Kluyveromyces lactis: one gene and its partners. The main gene of each other region encodes a partner of the protein of the gene in region 3 in a complex. Links are inferred from orthologs where the notes say so. Each region holds a gene or a part of one and is shown on either strand. Other genes may lie near its edges.

Evidence for each region.
Region 1: MLP2 (region 3) and NUP2 share a complex: the UniProt entries of both Saccharomyces cerevisiae proteins name them as parts of the nuclear pore complex. The link is inferred for Kluyveromyces lactis from reciprocal best matches to the Saccharomyces cerevisiae genes MLP1 and NUP2.
Region 2: MLP2 (region 3) and NUP170 share a complex: the UniProt entries of both Saccharomyces cerevisiae proteins name them as parts of the nuclear pore complex. The link is inferred for Kluyveromyces lactis from reciprocal best matches to the Saccharomyces cerevisiae genes MLP1 and NUP170.
Region 4: MLP2 (region 3) and POM152 share a complex: the UniProt entries of both Saccharomyces cerevisiae proteins name them as parts of the nuclear pore complex. The link is inferred for Kluyveromyces lactis from reciprocal best matches to the Saccharomyces cerevisiae genes MLP1 and POM152.
Region 5: MLP2 (region 3) and ASM4 share a complex: the UniProt entries of both Saccharomyces cerevisiae proteins name them as parts of the nuclear pore complex. The link is inferred for Kluyveromyces lactis from reciprocal best matches to the Saccharomyces cerevisiae genes MLP1 and ASM4.
Region 6: MLP2 (region 3) and NUP116 share a complex: the UniProt entries of both Saccharomyces cerevisiae proteins name them as parts of the nuclear pore complex. The link is inferred for Kluyveromyces lactis from reciprocal best matches to the Saccharomyces cerevisiae genes MLP1 and NUP116.
Region 7: MLP2 (region 3) and NIC96 share a complex: the UniProt entries of both Saccharomyces cerevisiae proteins name them as parts of the nuclear pore complex. The link is inferred for Kluyveromyces lactis from reciprocal best matches to the Saccharomyces cerevisiae genes MLP1 and NIC96.

Annotation. Positions count from the first base shown.
Region 1 is NC_006038.1:545,774-549,755, forward strand, and holds NUP2 (nucleoporin NUP2), read right to left. Parts: upstream 2,487-3,982; coding exon 501-2,486; downstream 1-500. Other genes in the region: SGD1 (Sgd1p), read left to right, coding at 1-401. UniProt on the Saccharomyces cerevisiae protein: Functions as a component of the nuclear pore complex (NPC).
Region 2 is NC_006041.1:1,832,305-1,836,450, reverse strand, and holds the start of NUP170 (Nup170p), read left to right. Parts: upstream 1-1,346; coding exon 1,347-4,146. Other genes in the region: KLLA0_E20637g (uncharacterized protein), read right to left, coding at 1-708. UniProt on the Saccharomyces cerevisiae protein: Functions as a component of the nuclear pore complex (NPC).
Region 3 is NC_006037.1:55,751-59,709, reverse strand, and holds the start of MLP2 (Mlp2p), read left to right. Parts: upstream 1-1,159; coding exon 1,160-3,959. Other genes in the region: RPL40A (ubiquitin-60S ribosomal protein L40 fusion protein), read right to left, coding at 523-530. UniProt on the Saccharomyces cerevisiae protein: Together with the closely related MLP2, involved in the structural and functional organization of perinuclear chromatin. Together with MLP2, associates with the nuclear pore complex and form filamentous structures along the nuclear periphery.
Region 4 is NC_006042.1:1,588,323-1,592,489, forward strand, and holds the start of POM152 (Pom152p), read right to left. Parts: upstream 2,801-4,167; coding exon 1-2,800. Other genes in the region: putative divalent metal ion transporter SMF3, read left to right, coding at 3,956-4,167. UniProt on the Saccharomyces cerevisiae protein: Functions as a component of the nuclear pore complex (NPC).
Region 5 is NC_006042.1:687,782-690,936, forward strand, and holds ASM4 (FG-nucleoporin ASM4), read right to left. Parts: upstream 1,746-3,155; coding exon 501-1,745; downstream 1-500. Other genes in the region: NUR1 (Nur1p), read left to right, coding at 1-391; LUC7 (Luc7p), read right to left, coding at 2,005-2,775; KLLA0_F07271g (uncharacterized protein), read left to right, coding at 3,014-3,155. UniProt on the Saccharomyces cerevisiae protein: Functions as a component of the nuclear pore complex (NPC).
Region 6 is NC_006042.1:2,465,762-2,470,046, reverse strand, and holds the start of NUP116 (FG-nucleoporin NUP116), read right to left. Parts: upstream 2,801-4,285; coding exon 1-2,800. Other genes in the region: KLLA0_F26686g (uncharacterized protein), read right to left, coding at 3,557-3,796. UniProt on the Saccharomyces cerevisiae protein: Functions as a component of the nuclear pore complex (NPC).
Region 7 is NC_006041.1:1,253,996-1,257,926, reverse strand, and holds NIC96 (linker nucleoporin NIC96), read left to right. Parts: upstream 1-1,131; coding exon 1,132-3,714; downstream 3,715-3,931. Other genes in the region: PDH1 (putative 2-methylcitrate dehydratase), read left to right, coding at 1-623. UniProt on the Saccharomyces cerevisiae protein: Functions as a component of the nuclear pore complex (NPC).

The DNA of each region.
Region 1 (3,982 bases), on a different chromosome or scaffold from region 3:
TAATAGCAGAAGGTCACTTGAAACTTGATGCTTTCAAGCATGTTCCGTTAATGGCAGGACTCAACTCAGATGGAATAATCTTCTTTGATATTTTGCTTTTCCAGTTGTTCCTTTCCGAAGGTAAGGCAGCCGAAATAAAGATCAAACGAGATGGAAAGAAAACATTTGAGTATAACTCTGATGGTTTGTCTTCTTTGATCGAGAAAGGTATTAACATTCAGAATAAGAATGTTATTTTAAAAGCGCTAAGATGGTTTATATCTAAGCATTTTGATTATATCAAGTATATTTCAGGTATGAAAGGCTCAAAAGAACATGATAGAGAAAGTAGAAGACTGTCTTGGGCAGTTGCATCTTTCAAAAAACTGATAGAAGAGGAGCTCAAAGGTGCTGAAGATTGACTATTTTAAGTACTTTTTTTTGCCATTTTAATAGTTACACATGCATATATGAACTAAGTTCAAATAGTTCTATTAATTAACAGTTAAATGTACTTAATTTTACATCGGTGATTGAGCATCCTTGATCGCTTGTACTAATTTTCTACCATCAGCCTTTTGTTTCACTTTTACGACGTATGTGTCTAACCCTCCTTCCGCTTTAATTGCAGGACACTTAACCAAATTCTCATTATTTGGATCTAATGCTTCATAGGAAAATGACTTTATAATACTAGTATTTAGCAAAATATGACCCATACCGTCTGACCTACAAAGTATTCTTGCTTTTGTATTGTCTTCCTTGTTTTGCAAAACCTTCAATTCACCTACACCACGGGAATCATAGGCTTTCGTCTCAGTATTGAAAATCATTAGCTTGGCGCGTTGCGAAAAGAGTAGATTCTCATTCTCCTCACCGTTCGATAGATTCAAAGTTTTAGATGGCTCTTCTTGTGCCTCAGCAGATGCGTCTTCGCTGTTTTTTTCACTAACTTCCTTGGCAGTATCCTTATCAGATGTTGGAGCAGATGAGGCAAAGGGTAAAGAGATCTTGAAGCCAGATGATTCACCTTGTGGAGGCGCCTCTTCAGATTTGTTGGCACCAAAACTGAATGCTGGTACAGTTGATGCTGCTGTTGCCCCAAACGTAAACGTAGGTTTTTTCTCATCTTTTTTGTCGGTCTCCTGTTTTCCAAAAGTGAAAGGAGTGGAGCCTGTTGAAGCTTTACCAAATGTAAATGAAGGTTTAGATGACTCAGCCGGTTTTTCAGAGGTTGTTGAGGTACCGAATGTGAAAGAAGGCTTTTTAGCTTCATCATTACTGTTTTCCTTGCCCATAGCTCCAAATGTAAAGGAAGGCTTTGATGAATCTTTGTTTTCAGTTGCTGTCCTTTGCACTGGAGCAGAGAAGCTAAACGATGGTTTAGAGTCCGCCGATGGAGCAGGGGCAGAGAATGTACCGAAGGTGCTAGCTGGCTTTGCTTCTTCCTTTTTATTTTCACTTTCTTTGGCCAAATCTTTATTGTTGCTGAAAGAAAATGAGAACGGAGATGATGAATTACCATTATCAGCCTTATTTGACCCAAAGGCAGGAAGAGCTGGTTTGCTTCCCTCATTTTTCTCTATGGATGGTGCGGACGCAGAAGGAGGGAATGTTGGTTTAGATTGTGAAGAGTTCCCAAATATACTAGCTGGCTTGTTATCCGTTGGTTTTTCAGCTGGTTCAGATTCCTCTGTCCTTGAAGCATCATTCTTTGGTAAAGTAAAGGCACTGGACGATACAGTCCCATTAAACGTAAATTGGGGTCCCTTGATCTCTATCTCGCTGTCGCTATCGCTGTCAGGTTCCTTACGCTTATTCCCACCGAAGCTGAAAGGCGGATCAGACGTCGTTGGTTTCTTAGCCAAGACAAACTTTGGGCCTTCAACATTAACGGCTGGTTTTTCCTCTTCAGAATCACTATCGCTGTTAATCTCAATTTGTTCTTTTTTATCTTGCAGTCTCTCTTCCGTTACGGTCGTTGTCGGTTTAGTCACCTCCGAAGGTAGAGCAAATGATGGTGCTGCGCTAGGCTTTGCGAATGCAAATGGATTTTTAGGTTTCTCCACATTTGCTGATGTGGTACCAAATGTGAATGAGCTAGTTGGAGGAGCGTTTGCAGCGCCATTAGTTTTCGCTTCTGACCTTAACTGTTGCGAATAGGTCTTGTATTTATCGAACAGGAAAGAAATATCAGCAACTGGATCTGATTCCAATGTAGAATTTATTTTATTTTTGAATTGCACGTTCAATGCCGTGAGTTTTTCGTTTAAGTCAGTGCCTTGAGGTTTCTTGTCATCCTTTATCACTTTGAACATGTTAGGTTTATCACCCGCAGTAAATCCTCCCATTTTCCTCTTTGGCATTGCAATTTTTCTGGTACTCATTACAGATTCGCTGGCAACGGCAGGTTTATCAAATGGAGTCTCGTCATCTGAAACATTATTACTATGTCCGTTCTCAAGACCTTCTCTGGTCATCTGAGAACCCGCAAATCTCTTTGACATATCCTACAGTGAGTATTGTGCTTGGAAAGATCAGCTCAAGAGAAGTCACTTTCTTAATCAGAAACGAATTGAACTAACGGGAAGCAACCGGAAGTAGCAGAAAAGGAGTTTAAGGATTGCTGATGTGTAAGCATTCAGACATCAACATGAGAATTGATGATACTAACACCAGAAATAATAATAAAGCAGCTCGAAATTCTAAATCCTTCAATATACTGTTGACTCGTGTGGGATGACTTATGCTGAACACGTGACTACATGTTATTCTGCTTGTGATGGGTTGCTCAGGGGAGTAAAAATGTAAAAAGTATTTAGCGAAACTTTCGAATCGCTTTCTCCTCCGATACCGGGAGTCGAACCCGGGTCTCCACGGTGAGAGCGTGGTGTGATAGCCGTTACACTATATCGGAATATAAAACGTTGTTATGCTTTCAGGGATTATTTGCAATAGCCACCGTTATAACCGACACACGTGCAATGATTTCTTACCTCATTAGTTGACGCAGGTGGCAAGTACGATGGCCGTAACACCATGTAGGACTTGTTGGTGTAAAACTTGCTAATCTATCAGATGAAACATCTGTTTTATAGCGCTCTTATTTTTAATGTTGTATTACGGGACTGTTTTGTTGGATCCAGACACCACGTTATATATCCGAAAGTTGAACTTTGTATATTTTCTCATGCGTTATTTCCTTCCTAAAGAGGAAATTATCTCCTTTCCAAAATGAGTCCATTTGTCGCAATCCTCGTTATCCTGCTTCACTTTCTCTGCTTCTCCGGTAGGAAGAGGAATACTTTGCGTCCTGGACAAACTCACTTCGGATTGAATATTCATTTTTTGATTTACATTGAATTGCAACTTAGAGATATTAACAAGTTGTTTAAAGTAGCACCTTGATTATTATAGGGTTATTTACTTTTGAGTTCATTCAAGAAGAAACCAGCTAAGGGAATTTGAACGTATGTGCCGTGTACTAGCAGTGGTTACTTATTTGGAATAGCACTTTTGGGATTACGATGAAAGAGATAACAAAATAAAACCAGCACGAGGTCTGATATCGAGGATTATACAAGAATAAGATAGATATATGAATCAGGAAGAGGTTCTAATGTTAATTTATTGATAGTGATGACAAATGAAACAACACCAGTTATACTGAAACAACATTTACCAGAGATATTTTGTGGACGGATTGATAATTTTCTCTCCAACATTGTATTGATCATCGTACTATGGCATCAGGATTAAAAGTGTACTGAATAATGCAGCTTTTTGTTATTTGGTGATATAGCCCAATGGAACTGCCAGCAAATATTTCTTAGGAAACCAGATTCTATAATTTGGGTGAATTTGCTGGAAAGTAAGGATTCATTCAAATTGACAAGCTATCTATCAGAAAAATTCTCTCGTCATTAGTCGGACTTGCGACAAATTTACTAAGTGATGTGCTACTTCTCACTACACCCCTCTTCATAAAGAATCAATTTTTTAC
Region 2 (4,146 bases), on a different chromosome or scaffold from region 3:
GCTGGGTATCATTTTAGAAAGAGGTTCGATGTTTTCAATATGCACAGTTGCCTTTTCCGGTCCAACTGGTTCAATTTGTTGGTTATTGCACTCTGGTACTTCATTCATTGGGTTTAATATATAGAATGGCTTAACTGATTCAGGCAAGTTGGTAAAATCATCAATTGAAAACGCCTGTGAAAAATACCAATTTGGGTCCAACTTTTGGTACACTGACGGAATATAGCTAGCAGTTCGAAGGTTACCTTTTTGAGACCAGCTCAAGTTTGGTAAGCATTCCAATTCAAACAAAAAATTAGTTCTACACTTCGTCAAATCTTCATCTGAATAGTGAGCGTCTTTGATGAAATAATCACGATTTTGAATGCTTAATCTTCTTTCAAGGTCCTTAAAATTATCTTGTAATTCTTCTAACTTTAAAGAAGTCAAAACTTCTTGCTTTTTCGTATCTAACACAGTGTCCGTCTCTATATTGGTGGACAGCCTTTTGCGTTGTGGAGATTGTTTTTCGAGATGTAAGTTCAAAACCCCTGTAAGGCTGCTGCTAGCTGATTGAGGGCTTTCGTTTAAGTAAGGTATTTCAATCGGAATATTCTCCTTATTCAAATCTTCCAATAGGATATTTTTTTTTAAGCACATCCTTTTCGCCGGCTGGGTATTAACATCTTGGTTATCCAATGGGATCTTTCTTCTAAGCTTTCCGACCATTTTTGCCTTCTGTTTGAGCGAACGCTTTTCTATAGGAAAATTGCCGGGTAGTACTTTTCAAAGCAGGAGATTTAATTGATAATTTACTTAATTTTGAACTTATAATCAGGACCCAAGGTTTCTGGTATCATCTTTTATATTCCATTACCTATAGTACCAATTTATTGACATTTTGTCACAAAAGTGTCAAAATAAATGAACATGATAAAGTACCCATAGTTGCTAATACTAATATATATCGTCACGTATCACATGAAAACATACACTGGATGTTTCTTATGGGTGAAATCAAGAAACTGAATGCTTTGCAACTAGAATAAAGTTGATCTGTCGAACTGTAATGGTATTGTTGGCCTTTATGAGTTCACTATCATGTTCCAGTTTAGATCACCAGTTCCGGGTAATCATTTTCAAATTTTTTTCTTTGGTTCTCTGAATAAACAAATAAAGATGATGTTCTAAATCTACCTTGCAGAACCAGGTCTAACAGTTATGTTTCTCTAAGGGCACTTTGTCCAATTGGTTAACTGATTGCTCAGCATAAAATTTTGCTTTACTGTATCTGTGTACTTGTCTTTTTTGAATTTCGGAAATAGGGTATAGACTTGAGCTAACAGTGTATCGGCAAGACAGGACAGATGTCAATATATTCTACGCCGTTGAAAAGCAATTGGAATGGCAATGCAAACTTTGCCAACCCGTCTGCCAATGTCAACGGGCTACCGATGAATGGAATTGGCAATACCTCTTTGGTGCCTCAACAACAAGGATCAGACGGTACTATAGGAACGTACGGTGCTAATATGACAAACGTAATTTCAGGTTTAAACGGCAACACAGTAAACCCACTGAACTTTAATGCTTCACATGAGCATATTAAGGTAACGGGTCTTGGTGCTGCAAATCCTCTGAATCTTGCCTCTCAATACATTGATCATTTGTTGCGTCGTGACATTAGTACCCCGGTACTGGATGAAAGATCGTACTACAATAATGGGGTTAACTACAATTTTTCCAAGGAAGTTGGTGGATTAGGCCCATTTACTCCGTTTGAAAGACTTAATGTGATTAACATACCAGATGAAATTTTGCAGCAAGTATCTACTGCTGAAATCAAAACAAATATGGGTTTATTTCCCGATATTGAACGTTGTTGGATCACTGTTGATAGCAAGTTGATCCTCTGGCATTATAATAACCCTTCAGATTTCCAATCAATAGATGACATCAAGCATACCATATTACAAGTTGCCCTAGTGAAACCGAAACCTGATACATTCGTGGAATCAATCAACCACTTGTTATTGATAACAACTCCTTTTGACATATACATACTCGCAATTTCTTATGACAGAATCAGCGGCTCGTTCAATATCTTCAACACAGGGATGAGCGTTTCTGTTCATGGATTGGATGTACATGAAATCGTTTATTATGAGAAAACAGGACAAATCTTCTTTTCTGGTAACAGCAATGGGACCAACATTTGGGAACTTCAATATTCATCTTCAGAAGATTGGTTTAACAATAAATGCAGCAAACTTTGTTTGACACAGTCTGCTCTTTTGAGTTTACTCCCCACAAATATTTTCTCCAAGATTCCAGGCTCGGCACTTGTACAATCTTTATTTGAAGAAGATTCAAAGTATGCACAAGAATACATTACACATTTGACTGTAGACCAATCGCGTGGTATTTTGTACTCATTATCATCAAAATCAGTCATCCGAGCTTATAAGATTAATGGTAAATCCTTAGATGGACCAACTACAATCGAACCCTCTTATATTAAACGTATCATGGGAACGACTCCGGCTAGAGGAGCTGCTATCTTGGGTAACAAATATTTGAAAATAGTTAAAGTAGAGGTGGTTTCGAAAGAAGAGAATAACAATTTATTTTTGGTAGCTATCACAATTGGCGGTGTTAGGTTATATTTCAATGGTTCTGTTAATTCTGGTAGCGTAGAAGCTTTAAGATTAGAATCCATCAAGTTCCCACCAAGTTCTGTCAGTCCAGAAACCATAGAAATTGAGTTACAACAGCAGCAGCAGCAACAAACTAGAAAACTTACACCCTTCTATTCTTCCCTCAACAGTATGGAATCTGTACAGTTGAAATACCAGAAAAAATCGTCAGTGTTACTTGAAAGCTCGAAAGCTTCGTCAATTATTTCACCTGGCATTTTCTTTTCTGCTGTTACAAAACATCCAGCGGAACAAACATTGGGAACTATGGGAACACCTGTAGCAACTGTTCAAAACACTCCAATACAACATAAGCTCTTTGTCAGTGTACCAGATTATGGTATTTTGAAGAATCACGGTCGCTACGTCGAAAATTCTGTATTTTTGGATACCACCGCCCCAGTAAGAGAAGTTATCCCCATATCCTCTTTGTTCAACGGTGCCAATAAGCCAGAGGGCTATGCCAATGCTTTTGCAACTCAGTACAGTGTAGAACCATTGAAGGTTGCCGTTTTAACAAATACATCTGTGGAAATCTATAAATACCGTAACCCAGACCAGATCTTGGAGTCCTTAATTAACAACCCGCTGCCCTTCATTGTAAATTATGGGTTAGTCGAAACCTGCTCATCTGCTTTATTTGTCACTTGTAAATTCAATAAGTCAGAGTCTTTGAGATCCAATGCGTTAACTCTTTTCACTGTAGGTATACCTAATGTTGTGGAAATCAAACCAACATACAACAAATACGCGAACAGTGCGGTATCAACACTACTAGGTAAACCATCACTGAATTTGATGACCCCACAAAAAAGCTCTACTGAATTAAGCAAAACTGCCAATACTCTTTCGACACCAAATGTATCTGGTGCAAATAATTTCAACCTTGATGATGTCATCTTGTCCGCTAGATTCTACGGTACCGCTCTGTTGATTGCCAGATTATTTAGAGACATATGGGATAAAGATATTTTCCAACTCGATCCCCATGTAAAAATTAATCCGGATAATTCAGTGATGAAGAGTTCAATTAAAGGTGATAATATTATTACAAAAATCGTTGTATCAAGAGGTGATATCGAATATTATCTATCCTCAGTAATGATTTTAAACGAGTTCTTCCAATCATATGGTAATTCAATTACAACAATCACTAATATTTCTCCAATTAATGGAGAAAAGGTGGTGGATAAAGGAGAAGATGTTGCGCATCAGGCAGAAAATGTTGCTATGAACGCAGTTATCAAACTCCTTCAATCCATAAAGGAGTCACTTTCATTTTTGAACGTACTATTCGAAGAGAGTGAAGTAGATGGTTACGAAGGGCAATACTTAGCATTTGTTGACATTATGAAGTACTTGAATTTCGATATTCAATACGACTTAAGCAAGTTGAAATTCAAGGATATTTTCAATCCCAATGAACAAACCAAAAATTTAATAAGAGAGATTCTCTCCTCAATCATCAACA
Region 3 (3,959 bases):
TGATTTGTTAGTAAAAGTTTGAAACTCGATCAGAACAAAGTTCTTAAGGCAATCTTATTGGGACGATTCCTAGAATTAGTGAACGTTCAAGTTAATTTTGCTAGATTAGTAAAGCTTAATAAAAAACCAAAAAAAATTCCCTCTGTAGGTATGAATTGTTGTGCATTTGATAGTTAGGAGGTGATAGGTCCCATTAAACTGCTTCCTTGTATCCTTATTCATTCTGCAAAGCGTACTTGCTTTCGTTTGAAGAAATCGTGACATATATCTCACTCAACAGTTTAGACCGCGTACTCACACTCTCCGAAATGAAACGCTCAAGTTCTCACAGGATAGCGACTATCATGATATATGTTACACCAAACACAGTAAATCCTTGTCATTTTCATTAGTTGTTATCCGAGTTCGTCTTGTTGTTTTTTAGCTAATGTGCTTTCGTCCCATTTCAAAGTAGCATAAACCGTCTTGAATCACCAAGAAACCCCAAAATAAGATGCCTTTTGCTTATCATATTGTGCATACATTTGCATTTTTGAATCTTGTCCTTTCCTGATCTTTTTGATAGTAATCAACAACTAAGTACAGCTATCTTAAGTGCGTATGATTAAATGATATAATCCAAAATACTTTGAGTATGAATTCTTGCTTGCTTTCCTCAATCTGGGTTTGGTACATAGAAAGTTGGTGAACCTGAGGAATCGACAACGAGCAAAAACGAAGTGATTTCTGCAATTAGAAAATAAAAATACCGTTTTGAGGAATATATGCATTTTTAATTGTCAAGCCCCGAAATTTATACACCCAGACACACTGTTGAATAGTGCACGGATGTTGTTGCAAACCGTCCCAACTTGGAACGTAGAATTTTACTGGTACCGGTTACCCTGATTGTTAGTTTAGATACGACTTCTGTATTTCGTTCTGCAGTCAGTTCGTGGTATCTGGTCGTTATTTTGAATTTCACCGAATTGGACCTAATATTGAAATTGAACAAAAATTACCTGTCAAGAACAAAGCCTATGTGCATTGTATATGCTCATGTATACCTGCAGAAATTTTTAGTATACTTCTAATTGAATATCATAGCGATTAGCTTGAACACTAGGTAAAAGTAGCGTCTTATAGATTGCTATTCCATTGTTGTGTTGTGGAGTTGAGAATGTCCGTAGAACCCATTGCCTCTAGGGTCGCAGACTTTCTACAAGTCGACCAGCAACTGATACAAGACATTAATAATGATGTTTTAGGTAGGATTGAGGAGAAGTTGGAAGATCTTCGGAAACAAAAATCTGAAAACCTAAGAATAACTGCTACCTTGGATCAATTAAAATCTCAATCAGAGAACAAACTAGAATCATTCAAAATTCACATCTCTCAACTAGCCAAGGCATTGGAAGATGGGAAGGATGAGCGCTTACACTTTGAAGAAGAGAAAAGGCGTCTAATTGAAGGAAATTCACAAGTGACCAAAAGAATCATAGAATTGGAACAAGAAATAGAAGTAGAGAGGCAACAAAAAGAACTTGCTGACGCTTCTAAGCAAGATATTGCAGAGTCACTAAACGAAAAAATTGAAGAACTCAGTTCTACCAAAGCTAAATTGAATGAAGCACAGGGAGCGAATAAGGAACTTAGACAAAAAGTCGTCAATACTGAAACTGAGCTACAAACTCAGCAGGCCTTAGAGCTACGTTCGAAAAGCGAGATTTTAAGGATGGAACAAGAAATCACATTATTGAGAGAAAACAATGACTGGTTGACCAATCAGTTAAATACCAAGACCGTACAACTCAATGAGTTTAGAGAAAGCACAATTAGTGAATTACAAGATTCTCAGTTAAAGGTATCGAATATGGAATCAGAGTTGGAAATAGCTCGAACCAGTAATCAGAAACTAAAACAATCGGTACACAGTTTACATGAACAACTGGAGCAAAAACTTTCCGAGAACAAAGAAATTAAAGATGAGTACAATTTCTCTAAACAAGAGCTTACGAAAGAGATGTCTTTAAAGCAGAGAATGATTGATGCTCTAGAGAAACATATGGAATCATTGAAGAAAGAAATGGATGCTACAAAGAATAACATGGACTCATCATATTTCACCGAAAAAGAAAGAGACGAGCTCATTGAAGAGCTCAATGCGGTCAAATATCGTTTAGACGCATCTGAATCTAACTGCATAAAACTTAAGGAGACAATCGATGAATTAACATCCAACATAAAATTAGAAGACTCCGAAGTTGGTAATACCACTGCGTCTTCAGAAAAATCGGTTTCTGTCATACCTAAGTTATATGGTGATTTGGGAATGCTCAAAAAACAGCTGGTTATTGAGAAAAGACAAAAAGACGAGTTAAAAATGCAAGTGGAAGCATTCGTTGTTGAATTAGAGCATAAAATCCCTGTTCTCAATTCCTTCAAAGAGAGAAGTGAAATGCTTGAAAGAGAGTTAAATGAGGTTACTATTTTGTTAGAGTCAACTGGCAAAGACCGTGATCAAAAGTCGTCACAACTTGATTATTTGAAAGCTACTGTGAAAAGCTATGAGACTCAAATAGCCTCCCTATCTAAGCAACGTGTTGACCTTGCCCATCAGATACAGTACTTACTCGTGAACGAATCTATTAAGTCAGAGGATGGCGGACCATTATCCGCTGAAGAATTGCAATTTGTCAAAAATCTAACCAACTCTCAAGAAATAACAAAGACCTCTGACACTCAAGGCATTATAACCGATCGACTAGTAGAATTTAGATCAGTAGTTGAGTTGCAGCAGAAAAACTCCGAACTTCTTTCTACAATTCGCAATCTTGCTGATGAATTAGAACGCAGGGAAGCTGAAAACAAATCTCAAATCCAGGTATTAGAGGATGAAACGGTGAGAGAGGCAAAAGAAACCATTCTTACACTTCATGATCATGCACAGAACCTTGAAAACCAACTAGTCATTCTATCAAAGGAGAGGGACGCATACAAGGCATTGTCAGTAAATGCTAGCTCTGGCACAAACACACCTAAGGCCATTACTTACCCTTCTCCTGATAATGACGATAAAGTGAAGGATCTCGAAACAAGACTCACCGCTGTCATTCAAGAAGCAGAGAATAATGCCAAGGAATGGTCATCAGAAAACAGCAACCTGCGTAAGAAATTATATGAAATATCACTTAATTTCGAATCTGAGAAAACTTCACGTACTCTTGCAGAAGATAGGTTAAATCTATTACAATCAACTTTAGAGCTTTCCAAACGCCAATGTGAGGAGCTACAAAAAAGATCATCTGATCTACAAGATATTTTAACAAAACAGGACAAACGTACACAGGAGACTGTAGATTCCTTAATCAAAACGAAATCCACTTTGTCATCTATACAATCGGAACTATCCATCTTGAAGTCTGAAAAACAGTTTATGGCAAAGGTTCAAAAGGAACTGAAGGCAGAGAACGAAAGATTTTCCAAAGAAAGTGTCGAATACAAGGTGTTAATTGCGCAACTTCAGACACTCCAACGTGAGAGAGAAATGTTACTCAAGGAAACTCAGAATTCTTATAAGGAAAAGCTTAGAAAATTGGAAATTGAGTTGTCTGGTTCACTCGAACGCCTTGAAGAAATTGAAAAAAACACCACAGGAATTGCTAGCAATAAAGAGCATCAATATAATTGGTTTCAAGAAAAGATTGATAAGTTAACTAGTGAGGCAGCTCAACAGAAAACGACCTTAGAAGAAAAAGAAGCTCAACTTCAGAAAATGCAATCCACTATCAATGAACAATCCGCAAAACTCAAGGAGGCCGAGGCACGGGCACAATCATATACGATGTTAAGTAATGTCGATGATGCTCAAAACCTAGTTGAGACTTTGAGACAGGAATTGGAAAAGGTTAACTTGCAACTTTCTGATTCATATTCACAAATAGAGCATCATAAAACTCTGGCGGAACAGTCCGTGCAAT
Region 4 (4,167 bases), on a different chromosome or scaffold from region 3:
CATATTCTATCAAAAAGGGTGGTATGCCGTTTAGAGACATATCGATGGTTTCTTCAAACCCTTGGCAGACATCATTTTTAATGTAGTTGAAATCGTCCAGTTTTGAGATTCTGTTGTGCTCAATTAATGAGTACGTAGGTTTTTTGAGATAACTTACTTGGAAAGTATGGTTCGGATCTACGATCTTGCCAACACAACTCTGGTCACGAATTGAAGCCAATTTATACAAACCTTCCTTCATAACCTTTAAGGCCGGTTTATAGTTGGAACTGAAAGTCACCTCTTCAGTTTCGAGAACGTCTCCCTTGTTATCCAAATGGCTATAGGTGATTCTGAAAGGTCCTTCACCTGAAAGTTTTAATGGAAGTTCTGCGAATGAAGCTTCTTTAATGCTGACTTGGGAGGAAGATTCTGACACAGCAAAAGAAGCAGAAGGAATATCTCTTCTAACGGTAATTCTGGCATCAGTACCACTTAGACCTACCAAACATCCACTGGAATCCTTCACAGAAACTAAAGATAGGATATGATCACCACCAATGTTGAAATTAGGTGTTTCGATCTCATAGGAAAAACTTTGAATATTCTCTTTATTAAACGAAGTTCTCTTATTAGAAGAAGTCTCTACTAAATCATAGTTTAACGTGAAAGGAGGCTCACCACTGAATTTAATAGGTACCTTCGTTTTCCCTCCAAGACATAATTTTGTCTCTAGCTTCCCTGAAATCTTTGCACTAGGTTTCACTCTCATGCTGGTTTTGAATGTGTACTCTTTCGAATCTAAGGAGATAGGAGATGTGAAAAGTTCATTTGACAATTCGGTGAAAACAATTTCATAACTGCCTTCTGATGTGGGTGAATAAGTAAACTGGTTTCTGGTTCCTTGGGAGCTGAATTTTTTTGTATCATATAGTTTACGTTCTCCTTGCTCAGTTTTGTATATTTTTGTTTTGTAGTAAAAGGGAGGAACACCGGTAAAAGTAAGATCAAAATTCAAGCCGACCTGTCCAACACATTGATCTAATATTGGGGTTGATCTTACAGATAATTGAGGAGGAATTGGTTTAGTTATCAGAACATTAGATTTTCCAATCACGGCACCGTGGCAATACCTCGATTTTACTGAGAGCAAATTATAAGAACCTGGCTCATCAACTTTGAATTCTAATGTTTTATCATTGAATTGTTTTTCGAAGTATCTCACTTTGGAGTTGTTATCTTCATGGGATAACTGAACGATGAATGGAGCATCCTTGTTAAAATCGCCAGAGTCCAATTTGACTATTAAAGACCTTCTAACAGAACTGTCGGGATTCATTTTTTCATCCAAAGATACTCTTGGTAAGTCGTGCACGTAGAATCTGTGGATCAAATCATACTTTTCTCTTACTTGTGATGATAATGAGGAAAAATCAATGCTATTACCAAATCCATCCACAATTCTTTCGATAGAGTAAACATGTTCACCGTATTCTTTGGTTGAAGTTTCTAATGCGATATCTACAGGGTACGAACGAGCCCATTTTAAATCTTGGACATCTTTTTGACTGTAGAATTTTGAATTCGTTAGCAAAGGTGATTCAAAATATTCTGGTTGAAGTGATGAATCTTCTAGTACGTATCTTTGGCCATTGATTGTCTTAGTATAAGTCAATTTAAGAGGTGGAGCACCTTGTACCTGAATTGAAACCTCATCATTATCTCCAACACATCTATCATTTTCTCCCTTTCCGTTAATGGAAGCCAATGGGCAGTGAGGTAGCACTAATTGGGATTTGTATATTCTCAAATTGATATTATTAGTGTCTAGAACGGTTTTCAACTGGTAAAACCCGATTTTGTTAAGAGGTACAGTAAAGTAATGTATGTTACGATCAGTTTCTTCCTTTGAAATATCTGCCTTGAGTGGTTTTAAATCGTTCTTGGTGAAGTTCCACAGTTCACCTTCATTTGAGTATAGATCTCTGAACTCTAACTGGACTGTATTGATTGTGGATGATGAGTTGACTCTTATAGGTAGTTCAATGGCAGGACCAGATTGGTCCAGTGGTAGACAAAAAGACGAGTGGAAGGGATTCAAATATGCTGTATTTTCTGGCAAAATTTTAATGGTATGTGCACCTTTGAAGTGTTCTGCCGAATTCATAGCCTTTCTTGGGTTGACAGAGTCACCTGTTAAGGACAAGTCTCTGCTGTGATACTGTCTCCATAATGACAATAGAAGCGATACCAATGGGATACTTTGTTCACTGGAGATAAACAGTGTGAGGGTTGCGGATGAAATAATCTGCAAAAGCACTATCAGTGGTTTGAACTTTAATTTGGGTATTTTGAACGTGGGGAGACAGTAAAAGAACAAAGAGTCTATTACCAAATATTTTGAAATGAAGTTTAACCTTGAATTCGATAGAAAAATCCCAGATAATGGTATCCCACTCTTAAGTAGGATTAGATCGTATAGTTTGTAGCATTGAATGATAAAAAAAACGACGAAGGCTAATCTTCTCTGACTGGCTGCATCGAGAACTTCAGTAGAAATCAAAGGTAGCTCCTTAATCGATTCACTCGCTGGGCCATTCTTTGCTCTACTAGTGCTTGACTTCGATTTTCCTGTGTAATTGGAAAAACCGGATATACAAAATGGATCTTCTTTTGGTTTGTTGATCTCTTCATTTCTTCGATCGCTTATTCCTCCTCTGAACGAGTCTTTATCTCTATTTCCAACGTTCCTACGCCTACTATCACTCCACATCGATGGAGTATGTGTATAGAACCCATTTGTTCCGAAACTGGAATCCATTATCTAACTGTATATGCGTCTGAACTTATCTCAGCTTCCCTTTTCAACAGAATATGATTCTAAAGTGCCAATACGCAGAAGTTTAATAGAAAAAAATGGGATCACGCATACAACTTATCACTTAGTCGCTCGCTTTTTAATTGACGATTGGTATGTAACGGGTGCCTGGATCGCGATTGCTTGTTGATCCTAGCCTGCATCTGCATACATGAGAAGACCAAACATAAGCTTAAAGTTTGAACTTCTGTTTGTTGACAAGATCTGAATCGGATATATCATTATGTACGATTCAGGTTTCGCTTCTGATCAAGGTACAATGGTCAAGGACGCAGCAACTCTATATGATCTGCCACTACGTTGTGGTCTTAATATTCGAATTATAGCCTCTTGAATTCTTCGCCTATCCAGAATTACCAGTGAGATCGTTTGCATCGATATTATAATGTCGATTCCGTTGCATAGCTCCATTGCTTACGTCAAATTCCCGTCAAATTCCCGTCATCCTCTCATAAAACCCTAGTCAGAAGCAAGGAGGACATAAATGCTAGTAAGCAAATGTCTTTACCCCATCTGGCTAATGAATCCTGAATTAGGTAAGTTTTATCATGACCTCATCTGATAAAAACCTCGGCAAATTTGAATGCCAGATTCAGTAATAGTAATGATAGCTAAGGGTCCTAACATATATAATATATATATTTACCAGAGAGAAAAAGAATGTTTTGGTTGGAATCGAGATACTTCCATTGTCCAGGATCGTCTCCTTTTTTGAATCACAACTGGAGCACTGGAACTTATTTGTTTTCAACACCATATACAGCTCTCACGTTCGTCGTATATAACATTACAGAGGTGCATTTGAATCTCCTTCTATAAAAGAAGTTTAGAAATTTAAGGTTTTGATTTATTTGATTTGCACTCTTACAAATAAGTCATTTACGAGAAGAGAGTTTGCTAAAACACGATACGTTAGAATCTGTAAGAGTTTGAGGCGCTAGCTCAATAGAGGTCAGATATTCTGTGTTGTAAATTGGTGATAGTTCTGCTGTTTTCATTCTCTGTTTATTGGAATTTAGATAAAGGAACGAAAGACGGTAATTTATTCTTGGCACGTTACTGTTGGTACTTAAAGATTATCTAAACTGTGAAACTGCCATGCTTATACTATCTCGTGTATTCGAGAGGAACCATGTTGAAATTTTGAGGAAGTTTATGAAGTTTGTCGGACCTGGGATCATGGTCAGTGTTGCATACATGGACCCTGGGAACTATTCTACTAGTGTGTCAGGTGGTGCACAATTTAAATACAAATTGTTGTTCATCACATTCATTTCAAACATATTTGCGATTGTCTTGCAATGCCTCTG
Region 5 (3,155 bases), on a different chromosome or scaffold from region 3:
TCGCTATTCTCATCTTCAAAGTGGTAATACACCTTCCGCTCCCTCCACGCCACTTCTAATACCATCTCAACAACCTCATTTCGATCATTCCATGTTGGCCAATGCATCTAGAAATCATAATATAAGTGAGAGAAGAAACTCTCATAGTCCTATTAAACAACACTTTGCAAATAGGTTACTAAACTATCCGGATGAAACAAATGATAGCATACCCGATGTGTCTGATGACAGATTCAGAATGGATGATCGTTTCAGAAGAGGCAGACAAGGCTATTTCAATCGATCTCCCGACATCAATTCTGGTACGTTACATTACGATGATGGTGATGATGATGATAACCGTATATCAAAGTCTCCCTTTCGGAATTCATCGTCTTCACCATTTCGGTAGTTATTCACTCAAATACTCACATTCATTGAAGTTTGGTGCACTGGAATTTCTTGAGGTATCCGTAAATTATATAAACATAATACATCTCTAATTACTAAAGACAATGAGACTATAGGTCGTTCCACCCGAATAACCAATTGTTGACCCTTCCAATTAAATTTGTTGGTTGTTGGTTATTCCCATGCTGTTCCTGTTCTCGTAACTTGTTCTCCAAATTTCTTAAAAAGTTTGGACCACCATGAGGAGGGTTTGCATTATGCACAAACAACTGCTTTCCATCTTTGACATCCAATTTCCGAGTAGAAAAGGTGAACCCATGTTTATTATTATCAGCACTTTCTTGTGTCCCATTTTGTATATCAGATGATTCAGGTCCGTTTGGTTTCATCGATAAACTGAACGGGATTTCTCCGATGTCATCAGTTTTATCGATTTTGCACGAAGCCAATTGTTCTACGGCTGTTTTGCTATAAGGAACGCAGCCAATTAAACAACCTCCATAAACGGTACCATTCTCTTGTAGAGCTCTCAGAGCGGCACTAGGGGAGTCATACGTGATTTTAATCCATCCATCGCCCGTGAAGATAGGATATTTCTTATGAGGAATTTTAGAGTCCTTATTTTGAGCACGAATTCTAATAGTAGCACTGGATATGTTGTTACCTGTAACACCTCTTAGAACCTCAAGGTCCTCTAAAATATTTCCGAATTTTGAGAAATGTAATATTATTTGGTTTGAAATGGATTCTGGATATCCAAATACAATTACTGCGCTCTCTTGCGATTTTTGTCTTGATATATCATTTGTTTGATCCGCTGTCGGTTTTACAGGGGATTTCGACGCATCTCTGTCGAATGCGTTTCTTGTGCTCTTAGTGTATTCTTGAGTCAAAGGTATTTGGTTAGACGAAGGCATTGCGTTCACGTTAGTGGGGACAGACCCGAACTCATCCTCTCGTTGCCAATCATATAACGATTTTGTTGGGGGAGCTTCATTCGATTCCACATAAGTCGCGATATCAGTAGGTTGTGCAGGCTGCGTAGAGCTGAATGTTGGCTTCTTTGTGCCAAACTGGACGCTATTGAATCCGGATCTTTGGGAAGAGTTGTCATTCGAAGATCCATCTCCAGATGAGCTCGGTTTAGACGATCTTTTTATCACGGATTGTGGAATGTTTCTCTTTCTAGCTATATTATACCAGTTTTCTTCCTTTCCATTCGTGGCAGAGCTCTGTACTAGTGATTGTGAACTATTCTGCTGTTGTTGGTTTTGCTGCTGCTGCTGAGGATAATTTATTTGCAAGTTTGCAAACCTGTTCTCTTGTTGCGCTTGTTGGCCAAATACTGAACTCATGATTTAGGATTGTCAGTTCGCTTTCTCAACAATGTTTCAACAGTCAAAAATGATCAATTTATCCTACTTGAAATTGAAGAACACACCAAACCACAGTGTTACCGGTGCATATGAACATGCTACGATGATAACAGCTATTCTCATCTAATCTTATTCTTGATGTTTATTAGTTGAAATTGTTTTATTTCAATTAGAATACTCAAATCCGGGTAATGTTTGCCATTATGAACAGCTTCAGTGTATGTGTAAATTTATACATTCACGATCGATAAGATTTACCTCTATATACTGCTTTTTGATGTCTCCTTGTTTGCGGGAGATATGTGTGAAGATCTGTCCCTTGTTCGTGCAATCTCTTTTTTACCATGTCAAGTTCTTTACGCATAGTTACGTATCCTAGATGGAGTTTGCCCATGAAATGGTCAGCGAGTCTTCTATCCGTGTCTAATCTTGAAAGGTAGGCTCCACATACACGGCATACCTGTAGCTTCTGTTGTGCACTTTGGCCTGTGTTTTCGTTCATTTGCCTGCATTTTTCGCTGAGTGTGTCCCTTTCTGTTTGCAGTTTGTTATATTTACAGCTTTGAATCATCGCCTTCATAACTTCTTCGTTTTGTATAAGCATATCGATTTCTGAAAGCATTAAAGCACATTTGGATTCAAGCTGATTCACTGCTTGTAGAAGTGCTGCTAATTTCGAATGTTCCTCATGATGCTGTAACTTTTTATGTGCCATTTCAATTTGAACATCACAATCACTAAGAATCTTCTTCAAGATGGAGTAATGCTCAAGGTCAAACTCAGGATATTTCTTGCCCTTCTTTACATCTCTTTCATATTGCATTTTATGCGAGACTGAATGTATACGTGGACAATGCCCCATGGGCTGCTTGGTCTCTTGGAAAAGGTCATAGGGGCAATGACCAATGATAAATGATTTGCACGTTGATGGTGAAGTTAGCCCATGCGATGTGGCAGCCGAAGACATAAGCTGAGAAATCAGCTTGCGCTGTTCTAAAATTGCAGACATTTCTCACTTACAAATATCTCTGATGGAAGTAACACCAAACTGTTGCGTGCAGTTTGGACTCTGTGATTAACTTTTTCTGCTCTGTTGGTCAGTTCAACAATGATACTTCTTCAGTACGCCTTTTCAAGTAGCTTGTTGAAAATGCCAGGTTTAAATTCTGACGACAAAATATACTGAAAATAAATATATAATAACACAAGCAAAACATGACACAAATGGCAGTTTAGGTTTTCTAAACATGATCATTCCTATCTTAGGTGATCCTTTTGAAATAATTTGTAGTACAATTAGAACATGCAAGCTAGAAACAATGGAGCCTGTATTTTCTGCTTTAGTTATTGGAGGTAATGGTAATGACAGCGCAATTAGAATTTGTCGAG
Region 6 (4,285 bases), on a different chromosome or scaffold from region 3:
TCTGTTCCATTTTCTTTTGTGGTCCGTCGTCAGTATTGAAGATTATGAATTTCAATTCACCAGATGAGGTATCATCTTCTTCCATCTTTTGGCGATTGATGATAAGGTTTTTGAAAGACTTTTTGTCTGGATTAAAGAGGAGTTCTCCGGTAGTTAAAATAGCCTCATCAGTAGATGCAGTGAAAATTGAAGAATCCATAGGCTTTCTTGTTAGAGCAGTCGAACTAGTGTCTTCCTCCTTGGGTTTTGATAGTTTTAGATGAATTTTAACCTTTCTGGAGTTCGGTTCCGACTTTTTAGAGTCAAACAAGGGTTTTGGAAGCAGCTTGTATGCTGCGGAGAGGGAGTTCTTTTTCTTCAAGTCTGCAGAAACCATTGTGGCACTAGGCTTAGTTGGTTGAGTAATGGAATTAGGAATAGAGATAACACGGGAGAATAGCTCATCCGTACCATATGGATTGGAGTTCGCTTGTGCTGCTTGCTGCTGGTTTTGCATTTGTTGGTTTTGTTGCAAGGAAGATGAAGAGAATAAACCACCTGTATTTGCATTACCAGAAGTGTTGTTTTGTGATCCAAATAATCCTGTCGAACCAGTATTTGCTGGCTTATTCGCAGAAAATAAACTTCCGCCACCAATTGATGAGGCATTGTTCGTGTTTGTTGCGCCAAAAGGTGCAGTTCCGGCAGGTTTTCCACCGAATAATCCACCTCCAGTGGTACTACTCAAACCACCTGTTGGTTTAGTGCCGAAAAGGCCACCAGATGTTGACGCACTATCAGCTGGTTTGGCACCAAATAGACCACCAGTAGCCGTATTCTGCTGTTGTGTGTTGCCTCCGAATAACCCGCCGTTGGTAGCTCCTAAAGCGTTAGTGCCGGAAGGTTTGGCACCAAAGAGACTACCCGATGATTGACCTTGTTGCTGGTTGTTTTGACCAAATAGACCCCCCGTTGCTGTGTTGTTCTGGTTGTTATTTTGACCAAACAATCCGCTAGATGTATTCTGCTGCTGACTACTTTGGCCAAATAATCCACCAGTAGTTCCTGTTGGTTTTGCACCAAACAATCCTCCGGTGTTGTTTGCCATACTGTTGTTCTGCTGACCAAATAAACCACCGGTGTTAGGTTGCTGTGTTTGTTGGTTCTGATTACCAAATAACCCCCCCGTTGCAGACGGTTGATTACTTTGTCCGAACAATCCGCCAGATTGTTGTTGCTGATTATTTTGACCAAACAGCGCGGAACTACCACCCATTACAGTTTTATTTTGAGCTCCGAATAACCCAGTTGAACCTTGTTGACTTTGGTTGTTTGATCCAAACAGGCCACCGGTAGTTGGCTTCGCACCAAATAATCCTCCGCCCTGTTGATTCATGGAGTTGCTATTTTGTTGTCCGAAAGGACCGCCAGTGCTAGCTGCGTTACTTTGTTGTCCGAATAATCCTGTACTGTTTGTGTTAGATGGTTGTTGCTGTCCAAATAAACCTCCGCCAGTATTGGTGTTGTTTTGTCCAAACAATCCACCCGCCTGAGTATTGTTTACCTGACCGAATGGAGTAGAATTAGCAGCATTTTGTTGACCGAAAGGAGAGGGTCCGTTCTGTGCTTGCTGACCGAATAAACCGCCACCTGTAGTTCCACCTGGTTTTGATCCAAATAATCCACCTGAGGTGTTATTATTCTGACCAAATGCGTTATTGGCGTTACTTTGTTGACCAAAAAGTCCACCAGTATTGGCCGCTGTGGTGTTATTTTGTCCAAACAAACCACCCGGTTGATTGTTGGTGTTTGTTTGGCCGAAAGTGCTCCCAAAGGTGTTTGAACCAGTATTTTGACCAAATGCGTTACCTGGGTTTTGCTGTTGGTTTTGTTGACCAAATAATGAGTTGTTGGCTTGACCAAATGCGGAATTATTATTGGTGGTGTTTTGTCCAAACAGACCTCCAGAGGTAGCCGGTTTGTTTAAACCGAATGGAGAAGAACTTGAAGCAGTATTTTGCCCGAATGGAGAATTATTCTGCTGTTGTCCAAACATGCCAGTTTGCTGTTGCTGCTGTGGTTGGCCAAAGGGAGTGTTATTAGGTTGTGAAAATGCATTTACAGGCTGTTGCTGGCCAAAAGGTGAATTTGCAGGCTGTTGACCAAAGGGAGTTGCGCCACCTGCACTGATGGTATTTTTATTTCCTAAACCAAAAGTGTTGTTAGTACCATTTGTCTGTTGTTGACCGAATGGCGAAGCAATAGCAGAAGCTGTCGGACCTCCAGCAGTGGTGCTAAATTTCCTATTTTGTTGATAATCTTGGAACCTCAACTCTTCAAACGAATAAAGGCTATATTCAGGCATACAAGTAATAGATTGAAACACCGATGGATATCCAGTTGACACATCCTTTTCCGTATAAGGTTGGAATGGCTTGATTCCAGTGCCAGAAGGAGGTCCAGAAGAGAGAACGCCTGTCGCTGTACCACTAGATTGGCTACCACCAAACAGGGATGGTGGGTTCGACAATGAATTACCTGCTGCTGCTCCTGCTGCTGCCCCGCCAAACGGAGAAGTAGTTGTATTTTGCTGTTGTGACATACCGAATGGGGAATTTATAGTTTGCGTAGGGTTTGTATTAGCGCCGCCGGTACCAAACCCACCAAACCCTGATTGCGCGTTGTTGGCAGAGCTGGATCCAAACAGATTGTTTGTGGTTCCACTATGCTGTTGACCGAACGCATTGGTTGTTGACTGAGTTTGTTGGCCAAAAGGAGAAGTACTCGTCTGTCCAAATGCCGGTCGAGAAGCACCAAACATCAGTGGGTCAGGAAATCAAGTGAGGTGACAATTGATGAAAAAGCTGACTAGGAATAAAATAATATGTCCTTCAATGACACAAGTAATCTCTAAGTAGATAATACCAAAGTCGTAGCGTTTTGGTTCAATGGTATTTTTCTGAGAAATAATTTAAAGATGAGTGAGTGTCCTTGTTCTCTGATTGTGAAAGAAGAAACACACTAATCAATTAACGATCTATAAAAAAATTTCCCACTTTACGCACTGTATGAATACTTTTATTGGTCTCAGTTGCTGATAGTATGACTGAAAGACAAATACGACAAATCATATAAGCCGAAACATTGCTTGCATCAACTTAGAAAACGTTAGTTCTTTATCATCAATTAGTTGTTTACTTCAAGGATAAAGAAATTTTCAGAGGTGAGGGATGACCTAAAATCGTATTAAGTGACATAGCGTACGTAGTGATACGTAGTTTTGGGGGATTGTGATGTAGCAGTAATTACTTGAGCACAAGGGAACAGCTGCTAATGCAATTCTGAGTTGGCTCCCTGTTTGAAACACTTAATTCCAATATGTTATATATAATGAATTCCGTCTGTTAAATTACCCAAAAAGTATATATGTTCTATATAGTCGAAAGAAATGAAAATAAAATGAGAGATAAAGCCAGGCAGTAAAGGCATTAAAAGATGCATCTCTCTGGTATGCAAATCTTCGGTAGACACAATAAAGTAGATGTGAAACCCCCTTATTGGCTTTAATACCATAGCGTCATAGGCTCTCTAGGCCATTCATTACCTCATTCATAAGTAGATAATTCTTCAAATTCCTGGGCTTTAACGACCCTGTCGTTAAATCCACGATCAAATCTTCCTCTTCATCAGAATCACAATAGTCTTGCTCTAGGTCTGGAGTCGATCTGGGAACTGAATTTAAACTTTTGAAGCATTGTACTATCACCTGGGAAACCTGCTGCGTATCTTTGGCTTTTCCAAAATTGTCTGTGAACATTGTTGAATATTGTCAAACGGGGACGCTAATGGGTATATTGTAGTAGGCGCTTGTTAAGCCTATTCGGAGGTCGGTATCCTGTGTTACTCCTTATTATGAGACGTCTTTCTTACACTTTTTAACTTATCAATACAAGATACAGACAACCTCGAATCTATTACATAGGCCTTGTCAACAACTGAAAGGTTATTCCTTATATATATATAACCTCCATAAAATATACTACAACAAGATAACAATAACACACTAACAAATTGTGGTTAAATCTCTGAAACAAAATGGACCACTTCTGTGGGCAAAGGAATCAAAAGGCAGCCCGTTAATGTGCGTTATCATTTGACACTTTCACAATAACCTCTCAGCAGGAACTTCAAACACCGATCTTTTCATCAGCCTAAGTGAAAGTACCGCAATAAAAAGTGTGGCTTTCCACTCATTCCTCAACAGAGCATGTGACATGCGCCTAATGAATGCCCCCAAGAAAACTTA
Region 7 (3,931 bases), on a different chromosome or scaffold from region 3:
TGGAAAACGTTCTTTTCAAGATATCGTTCCCAGCAGAATTCCATGCTCAAACGGCAGTGGAAGCAGCTATTAAGGTGAATAAACAGTTGGCAGAGTTGGGCAAAACTTACAAAGACATTAAAAAGGTCAGAATTAGAACTCAAGAAGCCGCTGTGAGAATTATTGACAAGGAGGGTCCATTGTACAATTATGCTGACAGAGATCATTGTATTCAATACATGACTGCTATTCCATTAATTTACGGTAGACTAACGGCTGACGATTACAGTGATGAAGTAGCAAGCAACCCTGAAATTGACGAATTGAGAGCTAAGATGTATTGTACTAAAGATGACCAATTCACTTTGGATTATCATGATCCATCAAAGAGATCAATCCCAAACGCTTTGTTAGTAGAATTGAATGATGGGACTGTCTTAGATGAAGTGGTCGTAGAATATCCAATCGGTCACAGACTAAGAAGAAAGGAAGGTGTCCCACTATTGATGCAGAAATTCTACCACCATTTGCGTGAACATTTCGCCGGCGATATTGAAAAGGTGGAAGCTTTAATGGAAGCAAGTACAGATGACGGTTTCTTAAACTTAACTGTTGATGAATATGTCAACATGTACTGCGATTAAGCTTTGTCCTTCGCACAGCATCATCAACGTATAACGACCACAATCAATTTTTCATTTCATTCAACTCTTTTTTTGAACTAAACGAAGTAAAACCTACATTTCAATGGTAACCAAAACAACATTTTCTATTCTACAAAAACTGACCACAGGAATCAAAAGATTCTGGCAATCATCAATTCCAGATTACAATATATAATTAACTTATTTTCTCTTGAGTTAATACATACATACTTATGTTTTAATATTAATTACTGTCATGATCAATTTCTGGCTGTCCATTTTTTTGTCCCGTCACATGTTCGGGTAACGGTGCAAAACATTGTAGTTAAAAAAAATTAGACAGAAAACAATAAAAGAAAATGTAAACTATCAATACGTTGAATAGATGATGGAAATAATTCATTGAAGATACTTTGAAAATCAATACACATTGTTGCTATCCATCGCATCAAATTATCTTTAACCCGTTCAGATTTTGGAATTGTAAAATCCACACAATCGTGGAACTATGAATATCAACAGTCAAATCAGCAGTGATACAATGCTATCTGCATTTCAAAACGATGCAAAGACTAGTGGCTCCACGTCTAAGAGCTCATCGAAATTATTCAATGAGCTTTTAGAAACGTCAAAGAACTTACCTTCTACTTCATCTGACCTTGGAGCTATCTTATTGAGTGTCAATGAGATGAAAAAGAGGGCACAGGAGATGCGTAAGACAATTCCTCACGATTCCAATCATACAAAAGCTCATTATCTCTTAGCAGGAAGTGGACTTGAATTTCACGAAATTGAGAGTTCCTTGAAGAATCTTAAGTCATCAGAGTTGTTAACCGAACAACGGGTTGCACAAGGCTATAACGATGGTGATTTGGACACTTATTTACATATTAAGAAGGATGAGAATATCCTTTCCTCCATTGAACAATCATTGTCTTTAGCAGCGAAGGATTTTGATAATTTCATTAATCAGAACTTCAACCTAGATTGGAAGCAAAGGAAAGATGAAGTAAGAGAAAGCTTTGGGATCCTAGTCAAGAAACGTCAGGATAGTTCTAACTACGATACGACTAATTTGGCTCCTTTGGATCCCAACGGTCCAATATTTTGGGGGAAACCACCTGGTAGTGGTATCTTGGATGGTGATTTAAATTCAAATGTCAATGGAAATCACATCCTTAGAGAAAAGTTTGAGAAATATGCCAAAATTATTTACAGGTTTAACAATTCAAGACAATCACATAATGACGATTTTCAATTAACCAAAGAGTTCATTGCCATCTTTCAGAATACGACCGACTCGAAGTATAGACAGCTACTTGACGGTTGGGAGATTATAGATAATGCAACAAATCAATCCCCAAATATTGTTGAGTTTTCCAAAAAATACCTAGAAAACCAGTTCTTGAGCTATGTTGACAATTTGTATTCAAAGAATCCAAGCGAAGGTTTACCGACCAATGTTAACAAAATTAGAGCATTTATTGACCTCAAACTGAAGACTGGTGAAAATACTTGGAAATTTAACAATCTTACGATTGTGAATGGAATTCCCGTATGGGCCTTGATTTTTTATTTGCTAAGGGCTGGTTTACCGCAGGACGCGCTAGAAGTAGTTGTTAACAACAAATTGAGTTTCAAAAAAGTGGAGCAATCTTTCCTAACATACTTCAAAGCTTATGTAACGTCTCCTGATCATCGTCTTCCACAGGAATTTGTCTCAAGGTTGCATACAGAATATAACCAGCATATCAAAAACACTTTGGACAGCGATCCGTTCCGTTTGGCGGTCTACAAAATTATTGGCAGATGTGATTTGACAAGGAAGAATATCTCTTCTATTACTCTAAGCGTGGAAGATTGGTTATGGATTCACTTGATGTTAATCAAAGATGATATGGATATGGATGATCCAGTATATGAAAGGTATACCCTCAGCGATTTCCAACATACTGTTGTCTCTTACGGTGAGTACATGTTTAAAAACTATTATCTACAGGCCCTTTTGTTAAGCGGACAATATGAACTAGCAGTACAGTACTCATACAAAATAAATGAAATCGATGCTGTTCACTTGGCAATTGGTCTAGCGGCAAATGGCATGTTACATGTGTCATCTTATAAAAAGGATGAGTTGATCTCCGTGAATGATGGCCAAACAAGGATAAACTTTGTTAAGGTATTAGGAAATTACACAAAGTCGTTCAAGTACTCTGATCCAAGAATAGCTGTCGAATATCTAATTCTCATCGCACTAGTGAATGAGAAAGAGCAGATTGAATGGGCGTATGAGGCACTCAGGGAATTGATCTTGGAAACTAAAGAGTTCACCATACTTCTCGGAAAGATCAACTCTGAAGGAATTAGGATCCCCGGTGTAGTTGAAGAAAGACGCCCATTATTACAGCTTGAGGACCAGAAGGACTTTTTGTATAAGATTACCGAACAGGCTGCTCGTAGGGCTGATGAAGAAAGAAGAATTCATGATAGTTTGTTGTTGTACCAGTTATCAGAAGAATATGACATTGTTATGTCCATTATCAACAAGTTATTGGGAGAACTTCTAAGTAGCACTGACCTCAATCAATCCCTCTTTAGGTTGAATGACAACAGCGAAACGAATTACGTCTTAATGGCAAAGAAGTTAATCGAAGTGTACATCAACAACATCGAAATCTCTAAAAAGGTTCAGGCAAGAAACAAAGAAACATGTATTGTCTTGTTGAAACTAGCTGATATAAGAGCATCATTCCTAGCACGCCAATGGCAAAACACCCTACAACAGATTGAAGATCTCGATTTAATTCCGTTCACGGATGAAAGCTCGACCAGAAAAAGAGCACAAGAATTTACACATTTGGATGAGAATATATTAAAGAACATACCTAACCTGTTGATAATTACAATGCTATGCATTTCTAACATCATAAAGCAGTTGAACGAAAGTGATTACCAATCTTTGACTAAAAAGCAGCAAATCGATTCTCTCAAACGTGTTGCTAAAAATTGTATGATTTATGCTGGTATGATTCAATACAAAATGCCAAGAGAAACTTACAGCATATTAATCAATATAGAAGTTGGTTTGTAGCAGAGCTCTCATTTATGAGCACCTGAGTTATGTCAGAACCCAGACGTCCTACCATAATAGCATACAATAAAATAACCATGTGTAAGTCGATTGTTATTCGATATAATTGCCTGATAGATTATATATGCATATGTATATATATACATTTGAACTGCCAATTACCTTTTCAGCAGTGCATTGTTGTAGTGAGTAGAAGATGCAACGAAATGTACAAGAA